Arabidopsis thaliana: one gene and its partner. The protein of the gene in region 1 purifies or fractionates together with the protein of each later gene. This does not show direct contact. Each region holds a gene or a part of one and is shown on either strand. Other genes may lie near its edges. The genes, in order: LHCB6 and NPQ4.

The links.
Region 2: the proteins of LHCB6 (region 1) and NPQ4 fractionate together in Arabidopsis thaliana (co-fractionation; one large-scale study listed by BioGRID). This does not show direct contact.

What each region holds. Positions count from the first base shown.
Region 1 is NC_003070.9:5,445,757-5,449,877, forward strand, and holds LHCB6 (light harvesting complex photosystem II subunit 6), read right to left. Parts: upstream 2,125-4,121; 5' UTR 1,921-2,124; coding exon 1,694-1,920; exon of another isoform or gene 1,479-1,693; coding exon 929-1,478; 3' UTR 706-928; downstream 1-705. Other genes in the region: AT1G15810 (S15/NS1, RNA-binding protein), read left to right, coding at 3-114, 224-276, 372-515; AT1G15825 (hydroxyproline-rich glycoprotein family protein), read right to left, coding at 2,393-2,773; AT1G15830 (uncharacterized protein), read left to right, coding at 2,970-4,121.
Region 2 is NC_003070.9:16,868,713-16,874,238, reverse strand, and holds NPQ4 (Chlorophyll A-B binding family protein), read right to left. Parts: upstream 4,019-5,526; 5' UTR 3,965-4,018; intron 2,729-3,964; exon of another isoform or gene 2,621-2,728; 5' UTR 2,472-2,620; coding exon 2,280-2,471; intron 2,196-2,279; coding exon 2,082-2,195; intron 2,003-2,081; coding exon 1,759-2,002; coding exon of another isoform or gene 1,691-1,758; exon of another isoform or gene 1,293-1,690; coding exon 1,045-1,292; 3' UTR 815-1,044; downstream 1-814. UniProt on the Arabidopsis thaliana protein: Plays an important role in non-photochemical quenching (NPQ), a process maintains the balance between dissipation and utilization of light energy to minimize generation of oxidizing molecules, thereby protecting the plant against photo-oxidative damage; acts upstream of DLDG1.

The DNA of each region.
Region 1 (4,121 bases):
AGTATTTCCACCCAGATAACATGTCCTCTGCGGAGAAGATGAAAATTGAGCTCTCGAAAGTCAGGGAAGAGTTCAAGATGTCAGAATCAGACTGTGGTTCTGCACGTGTGCAAGGTAAACTCTACATAAGGCCAGTGGTCTGATCAATGTTGACTTTAGCCATTTAAAGGTTTACACGTTCTAAGATAGATTGTCTTGTGATGTCTCTGGTCTCTCCTTACAGTGGCACAACTCACTACTAAGATCAAGCATTTATCCTCAAGTTTGCACAAAAAGGTAAAACTTCAAACTGTTTTCGATATTTTTGTGAAGCTATCCATCCCAGTTTCTTGTGGAACCTTATGTCATACCTGTTGGTGGCTGTACCGTAGGACAAGCATTCGCGGAAGGGACTTTTAGGAATGGTGCAGAAACGGAAGAAACTGTTGAAATATCTAAGACGAACTGACTGGGATTCTTACTGCCTTGTCCTGTCAAAACTCAGCCTTCGTGACAACCCGGATTACAAGTGCTAAGCTTTATTGCACTAGAGACCCGATGATGGTATCTGTGCACTCTTTTGGTTCAACCAACTTACTGTTGTGAGTGAGACTTAGCTGTTCAAACCCTGTTAGGCATTTTCCACTCTAGGGAAGAAAGTCGCTCTATTCTATTTTGTCCTCTTACTCCAGTGTTTCAGCTGGAGCTCTTCAATCATGCATTTGTGGCAAAGAAATGAAGTTGTGGATCTCTTTCATTGATGTTTAGTATTCCCTTTCACATTTGAGTTGTGATAATAAAGTTATCTACGAACAAGCCTCATGATTTCATTTTACATTTATAGCAATGGTTTGATGATCTTTTCCCAAATGTCACATTGAAGAAGAGAAACATTAGGTTTTTGGAAGAGAAATTGTATCTACAGAATCAAAAACATCATGCCGTTTTCTCACAAACCAAGAGCACCGAGAGGCGTTTTCCCCTGCCCGGCCTCAAAGTAAAAGATCAACATGGCAACCATTGCGAGCCTCGAGTGCTTAATCTCTGCCAATTTCAGCCTCTCCAGCTTCTCAAAGTCCGGCTCATAAACACCGTCGCGGTTTTTCCCGGCGAGACCCAACGGATCGAAGAATCTCCCACCGGGGTATCCCTGATCGCCGGTATAGTTCGCGAAATTCTCGGCGGTCTTCGACCATGGCGTTGCCCACTCAACCGATTGAGAATCCGGGTTGAAGAAATCGACCCATCGTTTGCTCTCCACCCAACCCATGAGAAGCAATTGGGTTCCAAGAAGCGACCCGAACGAGAAGGGAGCGATCGCGTCTGGCTGGGCTCCAGCTTCAAACCATGCCACACCGCTCCAGGCCTGGCCGACGAAGATCCCAAGAACCGCTGCCATCGCCCATCGGCCATGGATCAGCTCAGCCTCTCTGTACCATTTCAGAAAAGCCGGGTCTTTCCCCAAACCCAATGGGTCGAACCCGAAATCTCCTGGTAGCCTGCGAATATCACACACATTTGACTCAATAACTGGGTAACAAACAATTCGGGCTTTTCATGCTCTCTTGAGATTCAGCTAACAAATTAGAACCAAATGAGTAATCAGGACCTTGAATTATCATAATCTATTGTCCAAGCTAGTTTATGAGAGATATGAATGAAAATTCAGCATTGTTCATGCTAGTAACTCAGATATAAAAGAGAATAGACTTACGAGCCATCGAGCCATTCAGGGTCAAGGAAGTTGCCACCACCTTTAACGGCAGGGATCCAAGATTTCTTAGGCTGAGCAGCCGCAGCAGCGACAATAAGAGTTTTCCTGCCAACTCTCTGAGCTCCAGTGCCTACGCCGCTTGCCAATGCGGTGGCACCTCTCTTGCCTCCGGTGAGGAACGAAGAACCAAGCCCACTGAGGACAGCTCCGGAGACCGCCATCGCCATGAGATCTCTAATATACTTGCTCTGTTTTTTTCTCTCAAGATGTGGAGAAATGAGTGTTTGGTTGTTGTTCTCTCTCTCTGTTTTTCGGAGCAGAAAGAATCAAAGAGAGGAGATTTAGAGGGACAATGTGAGATAATGAGAATCTATAGACGAAATCTCAGAGGCTGTCGTGGATAGATTTCTGACCAATTAGGAGTCAGAAACTACTTCACCATATCCACATCACCCACACTCACCACTGTCTTATTCTGCCAACTCAGTATTTACATTTTTCTAATACTTTACTTATCTAAATCTAAATTGTGAGAGGAAAATAAAATGACACGTGGAAATTAATTTATTTTCTTATTGAAATGTAAATGACAGCAATGAATTTACAAAATGGCTGCATTATGTGGCTTATTGCGTTTAGATTACACATTACATGATTAACTGAAAAAAAAAACGAAAATTTAAAAATATATAAAGAGAATTAACGATTAAATGGCGGGGAATCCCAAGTAGGCGGAGGAAGCTCAACAAACGGTTGATTTGAACCCATGTCCGGGTTTGGTGTAACCGGAAACGGATTATCCGGTATTGTTGGGATGGACTCTATTGGTGGTGCGAATGACGTCACCGGCGGTTGCCATGGATTTGTGACCTCTGGCGGCGTGGTAAAGTCGGGAGTTTGGGGTGGGAAATCTCCGAGGACTGGTGGTGTGGAGAATACTGGAATTGTCGGTGGATCTTGTACGGTCGGTGGTAATGTGAAAACCGGCGGGATCTCTTGAACCGGTGGAGGCAAAATCGGCGGGAACTCTTCAGCCGGTGGAGTGAGAATTGGCGGGAAATCTTGAACCGGTGGAGGCATAATCGGAGGGAATTCTAGAACCGGTGGAGGCAAATTTGGCGGGAACTCATCAGCCGGGGGAGCGAGAATTGGGGGGAAATCTTGAACCGGTGGAGGCAAAATCGGAGGGAATTCTTGAACCGGTGGCGGCAACTCATCAGCCGGGGGAGGTAAAATCGAAGGAAGGTCTTGAACCGGTGGAGGCAAAGTCACGGGAATGACTGGTGGCGTTAATGTTGACTGGTCAATAGGCGGTTCAATGGTTACATCAGGTGGTGGCGGTTGTCCGATGACTATATCCGGTGGGAGATTGTTTACTGGTGGAGGAGATCCCGTGATTATAACCGGTGGGAGATTGTCTACAGGTGCAGCTGGTGGCGTTAATGTTGACCGGTCTAAAGGCGGAGGAAGGAGGAAAACTGGAGATGGTGGTGGTGATCCAGTAGTAATATCAGGCGGCGAAAACCATGCTAGTGGTGGCATGGGCGGGACGTCTGCGACTAGAGGCGGAGGAGGTGAACCGGTGATTCCCGGAGCTCCGCCACCTAATAGAGGAGGAGGAGAAACGGTGATTCCCGGAGCACCACCGCCTATAAGAGGAGGAGGGGGTGAACCAGCGATTCCTGGAGCTCCGCCGCCAAAAAGAGGTGGAGGAGGTGAACCAGTGATTCCCGGAGCTCCGCCGCCAAAAAGAGGAGGAGGAGGTGAACCAGTGATTCCCGGAGCTCCGCCGCCTAAAAGAGGAGGAGGGGGTGAACCAGTGATTCCCGGAGCTCCGCCGCCTAAAAGAGGAGGAGGGGGTGAACCAGTGATTCCCGGAGCTCCGCCGCCTAAAAGAGGAGGAGGAGGTGAACCAGTGATTCCCGGAGCTCCACCGCCTAAAAGAGGAGGAGGAGGGGAACCAGTGATTCCCGGAGCGCCACTGCCTAAAAGAGGCGGAGGAGGTGAATCTGTGGTTCCCGGAGCGCCACCACCTAAAAGAGGAGGCGGTGTCATTGTAAATGGTGGCTGTGAAACCGTGCCGCCAGGTAGAGGTGGTGGTGGTGATAAAACTAATGGAAGAGGTGGTGAGGGAAGAGAGGAAGATAATGGTGGTGGAAGAGGCGCAGAAGGTGGAGGAAGGGGTAGCACCGGAGAAGGCGTCACAGATGGTGGTGGTAGAACAGGAAATAAAGGCGGCAATGGAGGGAGTATAAAAATCGGCGTAGGGACAAATGGTATCACCGGCGGTACTGGCGGCGGTGAAGCTGGTGCTGGGATGCAAGTTATGCAAGGCTGGGGAGGAGGCGGTTCCGGGGCTGCTACACAAGTAATGCAAGGCTGCGGAGGAGGTGATGCTGGGGCTATTACACAAGTAATGCAAGGCTGG
Region 2 (5,526 bases), about 11 Mb from region 1:
TTTTGAGTTACGTTTCACATTTTGGGTTTTAAGTTTTTTTTTTCTTTATATAAAATTTTATTTTAAGATTTGATTTGGTTTGATGAAGGAATGATTTTGGAGATTCTTTTGAAAACATGTTTAAGGGTTGGGTACAGGTAAACATAAATTTTAGATGTTTTTGGCTTCTTTTTTATTGGGAAGTTTGATTATGAATTTTACCATTATGAGGAGTATTTGGAACGCTCATGATTTTTAGATCAATTGTTTCGTAAGTTCGATTTTTGGACTGTCCGAAATAGGACAGAGTTGCTGGATTTGCATGGGATACTTTTCTTTTCGTCAACATCGAAGACGTCCTCTAGAATAGAAATTAATATTTACTCTTGCAGTGTATGCTTTAGATCCCGGCTCAATTCATTATGAGACCTATGGCAAAACTCAAAATAAAATAAAATCTCTTAGTAAATGTTTTTTTTTGGAAAAATTGGGGCCTTTTAGTCTTAACAATTTTTTTGAAATTGATTAGTAACCTTGGGCATTTGCCTACCTTGCCACCCCCAGAGACGGCCTGTACGAGCCAGGTACACCAGACGAATGGAGAAAATCACTCTAGGGGAGACGCTACCTTCACTTTTGCAAACTATCTTGTGAAGGTACGCGCGGCCATAAACACTTGCCATTATGTTCTGATTTTTGGGGAACCACTAGAGCAAAAACAACGGCTCCTTCATGATTTACCAAATTAATTTTATAATCTAGATTTTGGAATCAAATAAGTTCCTAACATGTACTTTAACATATTAGTTTTAAATTCTGTTTGATTTATCAAAAAAAAAAACTATGATGAAGCTGTTCTAATTCCACAGTTTTTTTCTGTTAAGAGATGCTAGATGATATCAATCACCTAGTCACTTAGGTGTAATAAAACTATATATAATCAGAAAATTCCAAGTTAAAAACAAAAGGATATAAGTATTACAACAATTTAAGCTGTCCATTTCCTTTTGTCTCAACATGAAGAGAAGGTCACACACTCTCTACTAAATTTAAGTACATGATAATTTAGCTTTCTTCACCATCATCGGTGATGAATTTTCCATTACCAGGATTAATGGCAGCGAAGAAGAAGAAAGCAACGTTTAAGAGGACAAGTGGTTCGATATCTTGAATTGGTATACCGGTCTCAATGTTGAGTTGAGCTAATGCTCCTTTCCCGGTAATAATCTCTCCTATCAGTGAAAATGCTATTCCCAACTGTGCCAATCTTCCTACGAATAACTCGTTCGCCTTCGTGAACCCAAACAATGGACCTTCACACAACAAAACAACAAACATATTCAAATTTATTCAAAACATTAGACCAAGCAACTCTTTAAGTAATCTCATATTTGTATCTTTTTTTCTTTTCAGAAACACTATTTTATTTAAGTTAACGGGAAGAGACTCTCTGCTAGAGAAAGCCATTCAGGAACCAATGTGCTTACATGGGGGAAAAAGATAGAAATTGATAACGATAAATAATCTATCAGGCCAACGATAAATAAATAAACATTTAGAGATTATTTTTGGAGATTGACAGTTCCATGCTAGTATCTTTTGTCTCACATTTGTATCTTAGGATAACGATAAATAAACATAAAGCCGATCCGGACACTACACTTAGGCCAATTCAGTTATACTAGTTACTATAGTACTCTATCAGGTTATATTATTTGCATTGGTTGTTCAGAGCAATGTCATTGTAACAAAGATAGAAATAGAAATGTTGAGAGATACCTTGTTCTTTGAGACCGAGGGCAGATCGGACGTTTTTGCCGGGAGGAATGACGGCTTTCTCGAGCCCGGTGGGAGGATCGTCGACGAATTTTCCTCTGTCTCCGAGAGCTCCAATGGCTCCCAACAGAGTGAACAAGATGAAGAAGAGAAGCAATGGCTCTGCTTCGTAAATCGGTATCCCTGTCTCCAGATTCAGCTGAGCTAATATCCCTTTTCCCGTCAACGCCTCACCAAGCAACGATGCCTATGCATAGAAACACAGCTTTCATACTAAAGCTTCTTTCTTGGAAGATAAGTTAGTGTATTTCATAGAGGGGACTTACAGCGAAACCGATCATAGCAACACGACCAACGAATAGCTCATTCGCCTTTGTGAAACCAATCCCACCAGACGTTCCAAAGATGCCATCCTCAACCTTGCTCTTCGGCTTCTCAACCTAAAATGTATATGAAAATCTTAACATTACCATCAAACACACAAGAAATGTTCCTTGTGGGACAAGTAAAGAGTATGTGAAAACCTTTTTAGGAGCAGCTTTGGTTTTGGGTTTGAAGAGAGCGAGAGGAACGAATGATTGTCTCCTAGATGGTAGTGCAACCGGAGAGTTTCCAGAGAGGAAGAGATGGTGAACTTTGGGCTGAGCCAAAGGGCTCTTGTTCCTCAAAAAATGGCCGGCGGTGACGCCTGAAGTAAGCAGCATGGTTTGAGCCATTCTTTCTGAGGATGAGAGAAGGATCAGTGATGTGTTTTGTGTTGTGTTGTGGAAGTGAAGAGATTAAAAGATATAAGGGAAATCTATTGATGGGCTTAAAGTGCGTCCACGTCTCCCAATTGTCCTTTCCATACTCTCTATGTGGTGAACTGGAGATAACGTTTTTGTGGAGAAAAATAAATCTATCAATATAATAGTTTTTAAAAAATTTAGATACACTTTTTAAAAGTTATACTTATTTAGACAGTAAACAAAAAAACAAAATAAATGTCATATTCAAAGAACCATTTATGACGAACTAATAACTCCTTCTAATAAAAATATAAAATATTTCTTTCAAGAAAATCATATTTTGGAACTAAAATCCAATTTATGTATTGATGTAAATGAATTGTGTCTGGTCAAAACTAAAGAAACATACTCATAGAAGATTCACGTCAAAAGGGTATGTTATACTAGCAAAGTACATACTAATGGAACTGGTACATTAGATATTACAAAAACGAAATGGCTTAATTTTTTTTATAATATGTATATAAATAAGAACACCTATATTGAAAAAATTCACATCAATTACATATTTTGTAAAAAATATTATATTTGAAAAATATCTAATTCTTTTTTAATATAGCCAGAGCCGGGCACAAACACAAGCGGGCTAAACCCAAACTTACGGTCGCAAATAGTATAAAAACAATTTTGGCTTCATATTTTCGTATTTGTTAGGTAGTCTAGTGGTAAAGACTGGTCCGAAAGAATCTTCGACACTTAGGTTCAAATCTTTAGTTTTTTCGGTTTTGTTAAGGGCTGATTGGTTCTCCCTCTACCACCCATAAACGCAGCGTTTGCGGTTGGTAGCGGTTATTAGCGATTGGAACCAATCATAGAAACCGCTAGATATCGCTTTGGACCGCTCAAAATTGCCAATTTTCAAAAGCTCCTTCCCGCAAGCGTTTGCGGTTGCGGGCGGTAGCGGTTAGATTAAAAATAAAAAAATAATCTATTTTTAGTTAATTAAAATAATTGTGGTTTCCACCCAAACCCTAATCACTATAATTAAAATAATCTAATCTTTTATATATCTTATTTTTATTAGAAAACCCTAATCAATATATTGTAACTCTATTCTCTCAATTATGGCATCCGATGAAAATCAAAATCAAGAATCAAACATAAGTATCATCTATCATTTTATTCACTCATTAGCTAGTGTAATTCTTTGACTATTTCATGGCATCATTGTTTTTATTTTATTTTGTATTCTTTTGAGTTTTTTGATTGAATACATGTTTCGATTTGTTTTCTCGATTAGAAAATGTTTTAGTCGGACGAGATGATATATTGTATTTTTATTTGGTCAGAAAATCAATTTTTCTAATATATTATATTTTTATTTCTTTTAATAGTAATATATTATATTTATTTTGGTTATTTTTTATTTAATTACTATCGCACCGGCTGGTTTATCAGTCATAAAACTCCCGCAAACGCACCTATTATCAAACGCTCAACCAGTCGTTCAAAATGCTTGATAACGCTTAAAACCGTGATCGCCCGTTTCCGCAAACTCCCGTAACCGCAACCGCACCCGCTTATAACCTTAAAATAGTTAGGGACGGTAAAAACTTGAATCGAGTAAAAAACATTTGAAACTACAAATACTCGCACAACACTCAGAAAGGAATAATTTTTGGTGTTTAATTAGTTTTCTCGATGAGAGACGTGTTTGAACTTTGGACACGAACACCTCATCTCACATCATGACAAGCGGGTTTAGGCATATTTGTTTTCTTTCTATGAGTCTCATTAAAGTTATAATTTAAACACAAAACATTGTCTTCTACTAAAAAGTTCATTATTTTGTAATTTAAATTGTATCAATTGAACAATCATCATATATATTCAAAATGGACATATAATATTTAAATATCATAAACTTTCATTTTAATTTTAATTATATGTACATACATTAAACCCCTATTTTGAAAACAATTTCACATCAATCACACCTTCTTCTTTTTTTGGGCAACTCACATCAATATACCTTTTAAAAAAAAATATTACATAAAATCCCTAATAGTTTGAGAAAACCTGATTGACTCGATTCGAGTCAAAAATATGTGCGACTTATAAATTGCTCGCAACACTCCGAAAGAGTATATTTGTAGTAACAAGTAAGTGGTGTTTAATTAATTGTCTCCATGTAAGACGTGTTTGAACACGAACTGCTCATTTCACGTTATTACAAAACAAGTGGGCTTAGGCATATACTTTGGGAACAAACCTAATAAGTAAAATAACAATAATGTGACATGTATTTTTGGATGTTTTTACATTTTATTTAATCAATTAGAAAATAGTATTTTTCTCTTTAACATGTTATAGTTTTATGTTGGCGTGTATCTGTTAATGAACTTTCAGATTAATGATTTTCGAGTATAGATTTTATTAATTTCGCTAGGACGCTATGTGATAATTTATACATTATCATAGCAAATAGCCAAATAACATGGTACACATAACATAATATGTCACAAAGAAATACAGTTAACTTACTAGGAAACACATATATTTCTATCTACTGCCGTTTCATTTATCAGAAACGTGGGGACGGAGACATCGGGTAAACATCCTCAAGATATTTCAAAATCTAGAGAACAACTAGCTGTTGATCGAGGACAGACTGGTCCGGCATTTCACCAATTTTTATGATGCATTTGTATTGGGTTTCAAATTTTTGAATCGCATTTTGTTAAGATTTTTGTAAAAAACAATAGACCCCAAAATAAGGGAAAAACCGACGCATAGATCAAATCTTTAAGTTCAAGTTCGATTCTAATCCATAAGGCTCTATAACTTAGCGTTTGCATAGTTATAACACAATATTCATTTGTGAGTTAGGTTCAAGCAATTATACGAAATTATGCTAAGTATAAAATACCTAAGATCATGTATTAGGTGGTGTGCGAGACATACATGCATTAAGATCAAACTCAACTAGAAAGAATAGTATAAACGATCAAACAAAATCATAGAAACTGCCAACCTAAACCAG